Sus scrofa: one gene and its partners. The protein of the gene in region 3 purifies or fractionates together with the protein of the main gene of each other region. This does not show direct contact. Links are inferred from orthologs where the notes say so. Each region holds a gene or a part of one and is shown on either strand. Other genes may lie near its edges.

Region 1 (4,354 bases), on a different chromosome or scaffold from region 3:
GATCCTCGTGCTTTTTAGACCAGAGGTATCCAAAGTACAGCTTTCTTATTAGTCCTAGAAGAAGGGGTCCCAGCCTGAGACTGGGCTGCCCTGCTACGTGGGGTGACTTTCAGGCAGCCATTCACGAGGGCTCGAGATGGCCAGGACAGGCCAAGGCTTTCCTTATCAGCACCCTCTCCACATCCACGCACAGGGGTACCTGCTTTTAGAAGCCTACCAGAAACACACAGTTCTGAGTCACTGGAGGCTGAGTCTGAAAAGCACACGTGTGCCTCTCCCCACAGCCTGCACGGATGTGGAGAGAGCCACATCCACCTGAATTAAGAAACATATGCACATCGTTCATGGGACAGCCAAACAAACCTGGATTAGAGCCCTGTCTCATATACCACGAGTTAAGAGGTCGCTTCCAGGAACAAATGGAAGGGACTCGGGCAGTCCAGAAATGCCCAGAAAGAGAAAGGAGGGAACATGAAAACCCAAATAAGATGAAACCTCACACTTGGACTCACTAATACCCCTTGCAGGAGAAAAGGTACTTCCTAGTGGCAAGGCAAGAAAGTGGGCACCTGGCTAGGGACTGCAGGTCGAAAGGCAGAGCGTTACTAAACCTATAACTCAGGCTCAGCTAGACAGATTTCCTGGCACCTTTTTCTTGCCTTTTCTGAAGATTCTGGGCTGAGGTGCTTCCCACTATTATTTTCTGGACGAAAACTTAGATGCAAGTTTCCAGAGCCCCAGGACTGAACAAAAAACAGGAAGGGAGAGGACAAGACTATTAGGTGCTTTTCTGAAAGGAAACTCCTCAAGGATCAAATCTCCCTGGTTGGTCAACTTATTTCGATGGAAGGCTGGAAGGAGGCAGAACAGCAACCCTCCTCTCCTCGTCTCCTGTCTCCTGGATCTGCTTTTTCCTGAGGAACTGTCAGCAAAGGACAGGAGCAGCCTAGTGCCCTGGGGCAGTGGTACCCAGCCAGCATGAGGGAGGAACTTCAACCCAGGAGCTGGGGTTCCCCGGTACCCTTTCTTCCTGCCTTGGGAGATGGGATCCCCATTTTGCTTGTGGATTTTATTGGTAGAGGCATGCTTCCAGCCAGGAATAGGAATGTCATGAAAGAGGCCTCTTGGTGTCGGGCCGGGTGAGTGGAGACCAACTACTTTTCTTGTCAAGGGGGTGGTAATCACAGTGGGCTGGAGATTCCACAGCTTTGGTGGACATAAAGGGATCTAGGGTTACAGATGAGAAAATGTGATACCAATGGAAGCTCCAGACAAGGCCAGGCCATGAAATGCCAGCATGACTTTAGTGAGGGCCCACCCTCCTTGTGAAGAGGCCCAAGGATGGAGGGTGGCACGAGAGACTGGCTGGGATGTGTCTGTCCATCATACCTACACTGTATATATGGGAGTGCTGAAGATGCTGGTGTTTCCTGACATCCCTTTGCCCTCGGCATGAAAACACACACTTCCCTGGGGACCTCAGATGACTCCCATCCTTGTAGCCCCCAAACACTAAAGAAACCCATTGCTCGGAGCTCCTGCAGCAAGATGAGGGTTTCGATCCAGTTAGCTTCAGAACACATTTCCCAGAAGATTCTCTACCTTGCCCAGTAATGAAACCCAAGAGCCACCATCTCAGCCCCCGACGCCCACTGGTGCCTAAGGATGAGGGAGAGAAGAGGAAAGAAAGCACTAACCTGTCTCCAAGTTTCCCTCAGCAGAAGGAGGGGACCACCTGGTACTGGAGTTTGGGGTTGGAGGGACGCCCCTCTTCAAAGGCAGATGAAGATTCTCATCCTCAGTGGCTCTTCCTGTCCTTGGCTGAGCCTCCCAAGCTGGGGAGGGGAACTGGGTCCCCCGAGGATGAGGCACGGAGGGAGGGGCAGGGGGAGGAGAAGGAGGTCCTACCTGTGGAAGGTGGCACACCCCCCACACTGGGCCGGTTACCCTGGGGAGGAGGGGAGGAGCCTCTCCCAACCAGGAGTTGTCTCCTCCCCCTTGGGGGAGTCCCCCTCCCCCCCAAACTGATCCTGTCGGGAGCGGAGGGCTCTTTCTGTCCGCAGGAGATCTGAGCGGAGGGGCTCGGCCCTGTTCCACTGTCTAGGTACAAGGAAGTTGGGGGAGTTCTTCCCTCTCCTGAAAGGCGGAAAGCCGGCTCCCCTTCTTTCCCTGGAGTGTCCTCTGCTTCCGAGCAAAAGGAATCCTCTCCCCAGTGAGGACTGGATAGGATGGAGGGCGCCTACTCCACAGGCATATCCCCCTTTCTCTCTGCCTCCAAAGTCCACTACTGCGGAGAGTGAGTCGGGAGGAGTGGAGGCACGCCGGGGCGGTCCCACTCCGCTTCCTTGGGTAAGGATCACCCCTTTTTCCACTTCGGGAGCTCTATTCCCGGGCCAGTCCGGGGATCTTCCTCGCTCCTAGAGGGGTCTCTCTTCTTTCCTTCGCCCTAGTGGGAAGGGTCTTCTCTCCGGCCGGGGGAGAGGTGGCTTGCGTCCCCGCTCCCGCCTCTTCTCCTGGGGTGCCCCGGAGGGTGGGGTTTTCGTACTCCCCGCTCTCCCGGAGCTGGCCTGGGCAGCAGAGGCCGGGAGGCCGCGGCTCCCGACGCCCGTCACTGGCTACTGCGGCGGCCGCGCCTCCTCCAGTCGCGTCCAGTCCGCTCCGCTCGCTCCGGCGCGCGGGGCTCTCCGCGCCGCCACCGCTCTGGCTCCGGCCAGTCCGGGGCTCCCGGGGAGCCAGGAGGCGGACGGACGGTGTCAGGACTCGGCTGGGGCTTGGGCTCGGCTCGGCTCCGCTGCAGGCCCCGGCTCCTCCCCGGCCTCCGCGCCGCGCTCGGCGCCCCTCCCCCGCCCCCGCCCGCCGGGCCGCAGCCGCCGCCGCCTCCCCGCGCGGGTTAAGGAGGAGCGGGCGGCGCCGAGCCGCGGGCCGCGCCGCCGGGGGTGCGCTGCGCCCGGGGAGCCGCGCCGCCGCACCCGCGCTCCCGCGGCACCCGGCGCGTGCCGCCTTCGCCCCCTCCGGCCGCCACCCCGCCACTTGGCCGGATACAGCCTGCGCATCCACCCTGGATGACAACCCACTGCTGTCTGTCGGGAGATTCCCCGGTTCGCGCCACAAGAACTGTCAATTTCATTTCAACACTAATTCTGTCACACTGACCTTTTCTCATTGTCTGCTATATACGGATGAAGATCTCCGGTTTTCTCGGGAATGTCTTTGACGGGCTTCTCTTCCCCCTGGGATAACTTACACGGGGTTATGGGGTTGGAGCGAAGTTAATATGTTACCCTGGTGTCACCCTGGAGTTCAATAAATGTTTGTTGAATGAATTTAGAAAAGGATAAATGGGCGTGCAACAGAGAAAATTCCAGACTAAACATCACAAAATCTTGCTTTATAAACTTGAGCAAAGCCCTTGTTCTATGGAATCTTGGTCAGCAAGAGGGGATCCTGATACTCTCTGGGCCCACGCCGGCAAGACTGTTGTGAGAATCAAATGAGTTCATTTATGTGAAAATGCTTTTTTATTATTATTTGTGTGTGTGTGTGTCTTTTTGCCTTTTCTAGGGCCGCTCCCACGGCATATGGAGGTTCCCAGGCTAGGAGTCTAATCCGACCTGTAGCCACCGGCCTACGCCAGAGCCACAGCAACACCGGATCCGAGCCTCGTTTGAGACCTACACCACAGCTCACGGCAACGCTGGATCCTTAACCCATTGAGCAAGGCCAGGGATGGAACCCGCAACCTCATGGTTCCTAGTCGGATTGGTTAACCACTGAGCCACGACGGGAACTCCTGAAAATGCTTTTTTAAACTGTACGGTGTACAAAGGATACAAAATATTGTTCACTTCACAATCATATAGCATATCTTATCCTGGTCACATAGTGTAGAATATTCTCGTTCTTCGCCCTTTGCATAATAATCCCCCCCTCCCCCGCGCGCGCTAGAGACAGAAGGTAAGCCAGGCAGACCACCTCCATTTTTCCTCCTGGAATCATGTTATTCCTCTGCGAATTCTTATATGTTTCATCCTCCGGCCTATTAAACTTGTCTCAAACTACTCTACTTTCTATCACATCAAATAATAAGAAAGCAAAAATATCACCCATAAAATATTTTTCAATTGCTCAAAAAAAAAAAGACTGCATACTTAAGATTAGGGCTTGATCACTACATTTCACATTTAAGTCTTTTTTTGTCTTCTGGCTAAATACAAAATACTATATTTTATGTGTGTATATATATATATATATATATATATGTTACATTATATTTACAATATGCCAGGAATTGAGCTCTGCGTGCATTATCCCATTTAATTCTTCTAGCCATAGGCACTATTATTAAACCTATTTT
Region 2 (4,165 bases), on a different chromosome or scaffold from region 3:
TGTTGCCGTGTGCTGTGATGTAGGTCGCAGATGCGGCTCACATTCTGTGTTGCTGTAGCTGTGGCTGTGGCTCTGATTCGACCCCTTGCCCGGGAACCTCCACATGCCGTGGGTGTGGCCCTAAAAAGACAAAAAAAAAAAAAAAAAAAAAAAAAAAAGGAAAAGAAAAAAGTGTTGAAGATGTACTAGCAACAAACTGATGATTTCACCTCAAAGCAAACTAACAAACAACCGAAAATCAAATTTCTCAATGTATGATTCAATCAATGTTCATTAATGCCAGGCCCATGTTTCTCCTAAAGTTGCCTCAAATACCAGAAGTCCACATCTCAAGCTCTGAGAAACAGTAATTAGCGAGACCCCGCCTAAGCTTTCTGGGTTAACGACAGGTACAGATTCTGCGGTTAGTCAAAATAGATTCAAATTCCCGCCGTCACTTACTAGCTGTGCGATCTTGGGCAAAAACTTAACCTTTCTGTATCTCATTTTCCTTGCCTGCAAAACGGGAATAATACACTTATCTTACACGGTTGTGGAAATGTTTTTTAGCACAGGACCTGGGGCTTAAGTATGCAATAAAGATTAGCAAATATCATTAACCCCCTTTCAAAACAACAACAAAAAGGAAACCGAAGCCCAGGCTACATAAGCGAGATGCCCAGGGTCTCAGGGCCCCCAACACACACAGCCATCAGTTCCTCCCTCTGGACCCAACCTTCCTTCCTTCCTTCCACGAACCTCGACTTTTCTCCCGCCAAATCCTCACCTTTCCGCTGCCAGCGGGGCCCATGACCAGCTGCGCATAGCGAGGCATGCTGGCTTCCCCGATTCCTGGCGCCGCCACTCACACAAAGTCTGAACACCACACTCCCTTCAGCCTTCGCGCGACGCCCCCTGAGTTCCGGGCACAAGACGTACAAACCAATCGCAATTCGAATTCTTCTTGCGCCTTCTGTTTTGCCACACCTCTGATTACGGAGCGTCCCGAAGGCCAAATCCCGCGTGAAACGCGTTCTGCGAAATGCCCGGGGAGGTTTTGCGCATGCGCAGAAGTATTTGGCGGACCTCCGGTTTAGAAACTGGCGAAGTCTGGTTACCTTGGTGATAACGGACAACTGATAACCCTCTGCATCCCTAAGCCGGGTGCTTTGGTCCTGGGTTTGCGTATTTATGTTTGACCTATATGGTGACCCTGAAGATCTGCAAATTTGCAGAGGGTCTGGAATACTAAGGTTGGAGGGCAACTTTCATTTTAGAGGGAAGGTACATTTCCTTTCCGTGACGCATCCCTTCCACAGAAAGATGCAAACGTACAAACGCGCAGTCAACTGAAGAATACCCGCCCCTCCCCCAACTTAACTCTAGGATCGTGGATCTGCCCTCCCCGCTCTCCCGAAGCTATTCGGGCACTGTCCGGATTGCATCGGAGGGGGCTAGAATCTGGCGTCCGCCTCTTCATCCCCAATATTGCCGGGTCTGACGCACGCGTGCCGACAGGGGAGGGGAAAGGGGAAAGCTTCTCCTGCACGCAGCTCGCGGGCCGGGCACCTGGGAGGAGATGCCTGGCCAGGGTCCAGTGTCTGACTGGACGGAGTGCAGTGCTTCCGCAGAGCCTTCCGCAGTGGCCAGGACCGAGGGTGCCTGCGGCGGGTGAGGTTGCCGGGCCCTGAGGGGTTTGGGAGGACGGCGACCAGCCCCTGCTCGTGATCCCCATGTAGAGGAGGGGGTGGGAACTGGTTGCTCTGAAGGACTGGTCCCCAGTGTCCTGAAGTGGGAGGAAAGGAGAACCTTTGCTATGGCCGAGATGGGAAATATGGAAGCCTACGCACAGTTTAGGGGAAGGGCTTCTGAGGGAAGCTTAGGAGGAGGGTTGGTGCAGTGACTGTCTAAACACAGTGACTGCGGCAATCGCCTGGGTGCCTCTCTGCCCCGAGGGGGCGCTACGAAATCTGCTGGAAAATTGGCCGTCTGGCCGTAGTATTTCTACAGAAAGGAGTTGGCTGGGGGCACCATGGGAATAGAGGCTCAAACGAGCGCTTCCAAATCAATAAATCTCTTACCTGTGTGTGACATTAGCCACCTTTATGTTAAACTGGGATTCATAATCTGCGACAGATGACTATGAATATTAGAGGCGCCTTGATTTTGACATTTTGTTTACTCAGTAACTCCTTTCTTCATAAATCCATTTCATTTCGAGGAGGTTTTTACTATTATTTCCTGGATGCTGAAGACAATTAGCTGCTGAAGTTACTTCCTCATCCCTTGCATCCATTATTCCCTAAAAGTGAGAGCTGCCCGGTATTCCTCTCAAGCCCACAGTCATGGCTCCTGTTGCACCCCATGGCTGTCTTAATATACTTGGTGGATTGACGAATTTTAAAGATGGGATAGGGTCATGTGTTTCTTTTCTATTTTTCACAGTGCTTGGTGAAAGTTTTCTTTTTTAAATTTTTTTATTATACTTGATTTACAATGTTCTGTCAATTTCTGCTGTACAGCAAAGTGACCCATATATATATATATATATATATTCTTTTTCTCAAGGTAAAGTGGTGAAGTTCTGGATCCTAGTATATCAGGGGATCAATGAACTCTTGGTCACTGAATAAGTTGCAGGAAGAGGAAAGGGAGAGTGTTTTGTCTTAATTTGAGAATAGAAAAAATGAACTTGTACAAAATTAGAAACATTGCAGACCATCCTATCACTTCCAGTACACCTTAAATTACATACAACAAATAACAAGATAGTCCTTTCCACACCCGAATTACTTCATTAAAAGTAAAGAATATCATGGGAGTGCCCGTCCTGGTGCAGTGGTTAACGAATCTGACTAGGAACCATGAGGTTGACTCGGCTCAGATCCTGAGTTGCTGTGGCTGTAACGTAGGCCGGTGGCTACAGCTCCAATTGGACCCCTAGCCTGGGAACCTCCATATGCCACGGGAGTGGCTCAAGAAAAGGCAAAAAGACAAAAAAAAAAAAAAAAAAAAGTAAGGCCAAATCTGGCTTAAAGTAAATCCTTTATAGTATTGTGAAAATCTCAGATAACCCACTTTGAAAAAGCCTGGAGTCATTAGGATATAACCAGAATTAGAAGAAAAAAATTGCAAGACATTATTTTTGATGAAAAAATGAAAACTAAAAAGCATATGCAGTACTGTCCTTTTTTCATTTAAAATACTTTATTTAATGCTTATAAAGCCATCAGGTATTGCATATTATTTACATTCTTTTTTTAAAAAACAGATCAGCTGGATATTCTTACTACCAGAATTCCAAAGGAACTGGTGAGTAGAGCACACAAATTAATACCTATCTGGCATAGGCTGGCAGCTGCAGCTCCAATTTGACCCCTAGCCTGGGAACTTCCATATGCCGAAGGTGCCCCCCTAAATATACATACATATATATATGTATTTTTTTTTTCACAGAATAATCCAGCAGGTTGTTTCCTATTAAGATATCTCACATTAAGAGAGTACTTTAAGGAATTCTCATTGTGGCTCAGTGGCTCTGAATCCAACTGGTATCCATAAGGACTCGAGTTCAATCCCTGGCCTCACTCAGTGGGTTAAGGATCCAATGTTGCCATGAGCTCTGGTATAGATTGCAGATGCGGCCCGGATCCTGCATTGCTGTGGCTGTGGCGGAGGCCAGCAGCTACAGCTGCGATTTGACCCCTAGCCTGGGAACTTCCATATGTCAAAGGTGTGGCCCTAAAAAGAAAAAAAAAAAAGTGTACTTCAAAATACCAGTGAATCTGAAAAGAATTGTTTATAACAGATTGAAGGAAAAATTCTAAATTGTACAACTTCAAACAACATAAAATATTTCTCAGTGCTACTATTTTCCTCTCACTTGAAATAATGGCTAGAACTGCTGGAGGTAAGAGGTTAAGATAGGCCCCCAAAGACCATCTAATTATTTTTTTGTGGGGGGGAGCAATTTCAATTCAATGATATATAAACTTGAATTCACTTTACTTTTCCTTGGAAAATTTATATTCCTTACAGTTACCTAGGAAACATACACCTATATGTATATTACTGTTTATTTCATATGCATATGTTTGTTTTAAAATGGAATTGCTGAGGGAGTTCTAGTTGTGGCTCAGCGGGTTAGAAACCCAACCAGTATCCATAAGGATGTGGGTTTGATCCC
Region 3 (3,041 bases):
CGCCCCTGAGGCAGTGAAAGACTGAGGGGAGCCTGGACTCTAGGTCACAGATCTCAGAGAAGCCTGTCCCGGAAGTCACCCCTGGGAAGCCACCCCAGGGTGGGAGTGATGAGCACGTGACCACGTGTCCTGACTTCCTGACATCCGGGTCTCAGACTGGGGACCTGGTATAAAAGGCGGGGCCTCCAGAGGGCAGACAGTGAATTCCAGGTCCAGTTAGGAGTTAGGGTGAGGCTCCTGAGGGAGGACCGAGCAGCTCCTGGACCACAGGTCAGAATCAGCCTGGGGATTCCCCGTGGGCGGGATGAGCACACTAGGCCTGTCCTGCCTTAGGCAGCTGCAGGGTCTCAGAAAGACTGGGGACCTGGAATCAGGGGTGGAGCGCCAGAGGGGGAGGGGCCCAGAACCTGCTGGGAATCAAGGTGAGGCTCCCGAGGGAGGACTGAGGGGACCCTGAACCCCAGGTCAGAGGGACCTCAGAGAAACTCGCCCCTGCATTCTACCCTGAGAGGCCAGAGGGCAGGATGACCACAGGCAGAACTTCCTGACATCCAGGTCTCAGAGAGACTGGGGACCTGATGTAAGGGGCGGGGCCTCGGGTGGGCAAAGGGGAGGGTCCTGTGCTGCCTGAGTCAAGGTGAGAACCCTGAGGGAAGACGGAGGGCAGCCTGGACCCCAAATCAGAGGGGATCTCAGAGACGCTCACCCCGGAAGTCCGCCCTTCCCACCCCCCAAGGCAAGATGAGCATGTGCCATAGTCTATACCCAAGCTGTCCCTTCCATTCCTCTTAAAGGAGCTCCAGGAACCAGAAGTGAAGGCCCAGGCGTGTGGCCTGCGTCCTCAAGTCACAGAGTAGGAGGCCCAGGCCGTGCAAAGGCAAAGGTGAGCAGAGGAGGGAGCCCTGAGGGGACCACCCACCCGGCAAGAGTCCTGTCCACCCCTCCTACCAGCACTGGGGGCCCCAGGCTGTGCCACGGTCTACACCCACAGTGGCCCCTCAATTTCTCTTACAGGGTCTCCAGGAACCAGAGGCGAAGGCCCAGGTGTGAGACCCACGTCCTTGTGTCACAGAGCAGGAGGCCCAGGTGTCCAGGTGAGGTGTGTGCCCCGAGTGTGTACCTAAGGGCTCCCCATCCCAGAACAGAGGGGACCCCACAAGGCCAAGTCACCCCACCCTCAGGGAGCCCCAGAACCACAAACTGCTCTGGCTGCAGCATGAGGAGCCACCTCACCTCCTCGTTCAGGATCACAGGGGACAGGCTGCCCAGGAGGAGAGCCCCTGTGAGGCCTAAGAGCTCCCCTAAGGAGAAGACCTGTAGGGAGGTGGCTACGGTGCTCAGCCCAGGCCCCTCGTCCCCATCTGTCACCTGCCCACATTCCTTTCAGCTGTCCGGCCCTCGCATCATGCCTCATGCTCCAAAGCGACGGCGCTACATGCTTGAGGAAGGCCATGAAGCCCAAGGCGAGGCACAGGGCCTCGTGTGTGCACAGGCTCCTGTGGCTGATGAAGAGGATACTTCCTCCTCCTCCTCCACCTCCTCCTCCTCTTTTCCCTCCTCTTTCCTTTCCTCCTCCTCTTCCTCTTGCTATCCTCTCATCTCGAGCACCCCAGAGGAGGCTTATGCTCTTCCTGGGACCTCGAGTTCTTCACAGAGCCCTCAAAGTTCCTGTCCCTCCCCCATGGCCGTTGCTTCTGCTCCATTGAGCCAAGCTGATGATGGCTCCTGCAGCCAAAAAGAGGAGGGTCTGAGCACCTCACAGCCTCTGCCAGACACTGAGTCCTTTCCCAAAAATGTGATTGATGACAAGGTGTCTGAGTTGGTGGAGTTTCTGCTCCACAAGTATCGCACAAAGGAGCTGACCACAAAGGCAGAAATGCTGAACATCATCATCAAAGACGTCCAGGGCCACTTCCCTGTGATCTTTAGTGAAGCCTCTGAGTGCATGCAGTTGGTCTTTGGCATTGATGTGAAGGAGGTGGACCCCAGCAACCACTCCTATGTCCTGGTCACCACCCTAGGTCTCACCTATGATGGAATGCTGAGTGATGAGCAGAGCATGCCCAAGACCGGCATTCTGATACTTATCCTGAGCATAATCTTCATGGAGGGAGGCTGTGCCCCTGAGAAAGTGGTGTGGGAAGCACTGAATGTGATGGGAGTGTATGCTGGGAGGGAGCACTTTATCTATGGGGAACCCAGAGAGCTCATTACCAAAGTGTTGGTGCAGGAGGGCTACCTGGAGTACCAGCAGGTGCCCAACAGTGAGCCCGACCGCTATGAGTTCCAGTGGGGTCCCAGGGCCCACATGGAGACCAGCAAGATGAGTCTTCTGGAGTTTTTGGCCAGTGTCAATGGAAGTGACCCCAGATCCTTCCCAGTGTGGTATGAAGAGGCTTTGAGAGATCAGGAAGGGAGAGCCCAAGCTAGAATGACCACTACAGATAATACTACTGCCATGGCCAGTACAAGTTCTAGTGCCATGTCCAGCAGCTGCTTTTGCCCTGAGTGAAATCTAAGGCAAGTTCTTCACTTTATGTTTTACGAGGTCAGTCAATGATCTAAGCAGTACAGGGCCAGGCTGGGGATGAGGGACTGACTCATAGTGAAACATTTTTGTGTTTTTTTTTCCATTAGGGTAACTTAGAAACTAATTTTTTTTAATTTTTGGCATTCAAAAATGTTGTTACTTAACTAATTTTTTTTTTAGCTTCAGAATCTAAGTTTAAGAATGACATTGGTCACACATTTATTGTTGTTTATTTAGTTTAAGAGAAAGAGTTTTGCTATTTTGTAAAATAAATTAGGAAGCCTTCCATTTCATTTGTAGTCTGTAACAAGATAAGATGGCATTAGAATAGGGATTTACTTGGAAATGTGAAATAACTTAGCAGTGAAGAAAAAAATTAGAGTGATTTCTTTTTTAATTCTCATAATTTTTAGTCCACTGTTCTATAAAATTAAGATATATACTTGGGTTTTCTTAGCTTATCCAAGAATGTATAAGAAATTAAATAGTAATAAATTAAATCTATGCTCAC
Region 4 (3,565 bases), on a different chromosome or scaffold from region 3:
TAATGCAAACTCCACAAATAAGGTTGAATACTAAAGACCTAAACCAGCAGCATTCTCTTATCCAGAAGGTACATGAAGCCAAGGCCCAGGAGCAGCATGATCAAATAATTAATACATCATCTCAGATTCAAATTCCAAATCATGCCTTAGGGCATGGCCATCAAGCATCTCTTCCTAATACACAGGTCCTTTTAGACTCTGCCTGTGATTTACAAATTCTTCAGCAGTCAATACTGCAGGCAGGTTTAGGACAAGTAAAGGCAACTTTACAAGTGCAGCGTGTTCAAAGTCCTCAACAAATAGTACATCCTTTCCTTCAAATGGATGGTCATGTTATTCAGAGCAATGGGGATCCTTCTCAGCAGCAAATCCATCCTCAAAATTCTGAAATTATGAAAATGGACCTCTCTGAGTCTACAAAACCATTACAACAACATCTGGCAACAAAGGGCCATTTTAGTGAAACAAATCAACATGATTCAAAGAATCATTTTGTGTCTCTTGGATCAATATGTTTCCCAGAGGCAATGCTTCTCAGTGATGAAAGAAATATTTTATCAAATGTAGATGATATCTTAGCAGCTACAGCAGCAGCTTGTGGAGTTACACCTTCTGATTTTACCAAGTCAACTTCAAATGAAACCATTCCTGCTGTTGAAGATGGTGATTCTAAATCTCATTTTCAGCAGTCATTAGATGTTGGGCATGTGACTTCAGATTTTAACTCCATAGCAGCTACAGTAGGAAAGCCACCAAATATAAATGATATTTCCCTAAATGGAAATCAAGTTACTGTAAACCTTTCACCAGTACCTACTCTTCAGTCAAAAATGACTCTTGATCAACAGCACATTGAAACACCTGGTCAAAGTAAACCTTCTAAACTAACTTCGCCAGTGATTGGACCAGGTCATGAAGCCCAGGAGCAAAGTTCTGGCCCTTTCAAGAAGCAGTCTGCTACCAGTCATGAGTCTGAAGAAGACAGTGAAGTTCCTGTTGATAGTACTTTAAATAACAGAAATCAAGAGTTTGTTTCTAGTAGTAGAAGTATAAGTGGAGAGAGTGCTACTTCAGAGAGTGAATTTACTTTAGGGGGTGAAGACAGTGGTGTGTCAGTGACCCCAACTAGGAGTACACTTGCACTGTTGGCCATGGCCCAACCTGGGGAGCCAGTCAGTGTCAAGGTTGAAGAGGAAAACCAAGACTTAATACATTTTAACCTTCAGAAGAAAAAAACTAAAGGAAAAGGGCAAACTAAAGAGGAAGACAACAGCAATCAGAAACCACTGAAAAGACCTGCCCAAGGCAAACGCCAGAATCCAAGGGGAACAGATATATATTTGCCGTATACTCCCCCTTCCTCGGAAAGCTGCCATGATGGTTATCAGCATCAAGAAAAAATGAGACAGAAGATCAAAGAAGTAGAGGAAAAGCAGCCAGAAGTCAAAACAGGATTTATTGCCTCTTTCTTAGATTTTCTGAAATCTGGGCCCAAGCAGCAATTTTCCACTCTTGCTGTACGAATGCCTAACAGGACTAGACGACCAGGAACCCAGATTGTTCGTACGTTTTGTCCCCCACCACTTCCAAAGACTGCATCTGTAACACCCGCACCTTTAGTATCTGAAACCGGGGGTCACAGTCCATCAGAAAAAGTTGATAATGAACTTAAAAACCCAGAACATTTATCTTCACTTTCTTCTGATGAAGAGGATCCTGGAGTATGCAGTCAAGATGTTTATAAAAGCTCCTCTACTACTTTAACTACTTTGGGTGCTACTTCTGATAGAAAGAAGAAAGCAGGTAAAATTTTAAAATTTAGATTCATAGTTAGAGCTTTCCGCTTTTTTTTTTTTTTTTTTTTTTTCCCCTGGCTCCAGACCAAGTTTTAAGCTTTCTTAGCTTGAAGCAGGTCTGCAGATTTTCATGACAAAGTACATAGGTAGCTATCTTGAGACTTTTTTTTTTTTTTTTGTCTTTTGTTGTTGTTGTTGTTGTTGCTATTTCTTGTGAGACATTTTTTAAAGGCTCCTTACCTGTAGGAAAGTTCTGGATTTGAGGTTGAGTAGTTCTGTTGGGGAGGGGGTGGCTTTTTGCCACATGAAACATAATTTGCATAGTATGCTATCCAGATTTTTCTAATCTGGGATATCTTAAGATGGTTTATAGATACGAAGTATTGTTTTGAGGGCCCTGTTATTGTATAACCTGGCATATTTTCTTGCTACAGCAATTTTGCCTAAACATTTTTACTCTTAAATACAGGCTATTTTGTGTGTGTATGCAAGTTAATATAATTAAGTTAAAACTTTAAAATTTTTGTGCTGGCTCCAAAATATATGCCTAAATCTTTGGATGTGTGTTTGATTTTACTCTGTAGTTAAGGGAACATTTAGAGGAACTGTTTTGAGAAGCACTGCTTTATGTAAGTAATTGACAAGTAGTATAAAAGTTTCTATTTTAGGAGCTCCCATTGTGCCTCAGCAGGTTAAGAACTCGGCCTAGTATCCATGAGGATGCAGGTTCAATCCCTGGCCTCATTTGGTGGGTTAAGGATCCGGTGTTGCCACAAGCTGCAGTGTAGGTTGCAGATGTGGCTTGGATCTGGTGTTTCTGTGGCTGCAGCATAGGCCTCAGCTGTAGCTCTGATTCTACCCCTAGCCTGGGAATTTCCATATGCTTCAGGTGCAGCCCTAAAAAGAAAAAAAAAAAAAGTTACCATTTTAAAGAATATTCTAAGAAAAAATATTTATAAAAATGCCAGGAACTAGTAACGGTGTTGTGAGATGTGCATTATATCTCTAATATACAGATGATATAACAGAGTAAATGAGCTAGTGACAACTGAAATCCAAATTCAGGTTGGTCTGTTTCTAGGACTTGTAGGAGCCTAGCTCTTTTGTATGAATAGAGTGGTGCTCTATGAGTTAAACCTTATTTTGTGATACACTTTTCTGCTTCTCTGTGGACTTGAGACTACCTTTTTTACTACTAAAGTGATATGAAACAGCTGGTATCGCATATAATCTATTAGCATAAATGTCTGCTAAAACGTTTCTAAAGAACTCTCATTTTGTTCTATAGAGATACTAGCATAATGGAAAACCATCTTAAGAGTCAGAGATATTATGGATGTGGCTAATCCTAGGAAAGTTTTACACTCTTCTCCCTCAATTCAGAGTGCTTTGCAATTACTGTTATATTCCCTCTTGCATACCTAGAACAAACCTTTTATAATCTATTCTAAAACGTGAATCTAAAACTAGTTTCTTCCAGACAGCTGTTACTATCCCATTTTTAGTTCAAAGCATCACCATCAACCCAAGCTTTATGAATAGGTCGTTGAAGTTCTCTACCGTTCCTATTGCCTCCTCATCTGTGAGAGCTCATGCCATCTTGCCTGGCCTGTTGCAACAGATTTCTAATTAGAATCCTTCCCTCCAGTCTCAGGCACCAGTCCATCCTCCGCTAGTCATCACATGTATCTTTATAAAAAAAGAAAACCAATTGTTAAATACTTTTTGGTGCTTCATGGGAAAAAATTAAAATAATGTGTACAAGTTTT

What was found.
Region 1: the proteins of MAGEA10 (region 3) and FOXJ2 purify together in Homo sapiens (affinity purification with mass spectrometry; 3 studies listed by BioGRID and IntAct, counting the BioPlex papers as one, with this or other methods). This does not show direct contact. The link is inferred for Sus scrofa from reciprocal best matches to the Homo sapiens genes MAGEA10 and FOXJ2.
Region 2: the proteins of MAGEA10 (region 3) and FAM216A purify together in Homo sapiens (affinity purification with mass spectrometry; 3 studies listed by BioGRID and IntAct, counting the BioPlex papers as one, with this or other methods). This does not show direct contact. The link is inferred for Sus scrofa from reciprocal best matches to the Homo sapiens genes MAGEA10 and FAM216A.
Region 4: the proteins of MAGEA10 (region 3) and QSER1 purify together in Homo sapiens (affinity purification with mass spectrometry; 3 studies listed by BioGRID and IntAct, counting the BioPlex papers as one, with this or other methods). This does not show direct contact. The link is inferred for Sus scrofa from reciprocal best matches to the Homo sapiens genes MAGEA10 and QSER1.

Annotation. Positions count from the first base shown.
Region 1 is NC_010447.5:63,060,458-63,064,811, reverse strand, and holds the start of FOXJ2 (forkhead box protein J2), read right to left. Parts: upstream 2,835-4,354; 5' UTR 1,698-2,834; intron 1-1,697.
Region 2 is NC_010456.5:31,848,683-31,852,847, forward strand, and holds the start of FAM216A (protein FAM216A), read left to right. Parts: upstream 1-1,352; 5' UTR 1,353-1,558; coding exon 1,559-1,650; intron 1,651-3,250; coding exon 3,251-3,291; intron 3,292-4,165. Other genes in the region: GPN3 (GPN-loop GTPase 3), read right to left, coding at 767-814.
Region 3 is NC_010461.5:123,400,274-123,403,314, reverse strand, and holds MAGEA10 (melanoma-associated antigen 10), read left to right. Parts: upstream 1-1,399; 5' UTR 1,400-1,405; coding exon 1,406-2,512; downstream 2,513-3,041. UniProt on the Homo sapiens protein: Not known, though may play a role in embryonal development and tumor transformation or aspects of tumor progression.
Region 4 is NC_010444.4:27,987,952-27,991,516, reverse strand, and holds part of QSER1 (glutamine and serine-rich protein 1), read left to right. Parts: coding exon 1-1,803; intron 1,804-3,565. UniProt on the Homo sapiens protein: Plays an essential role in the protection and maintenance of transcriptional and developmental programs.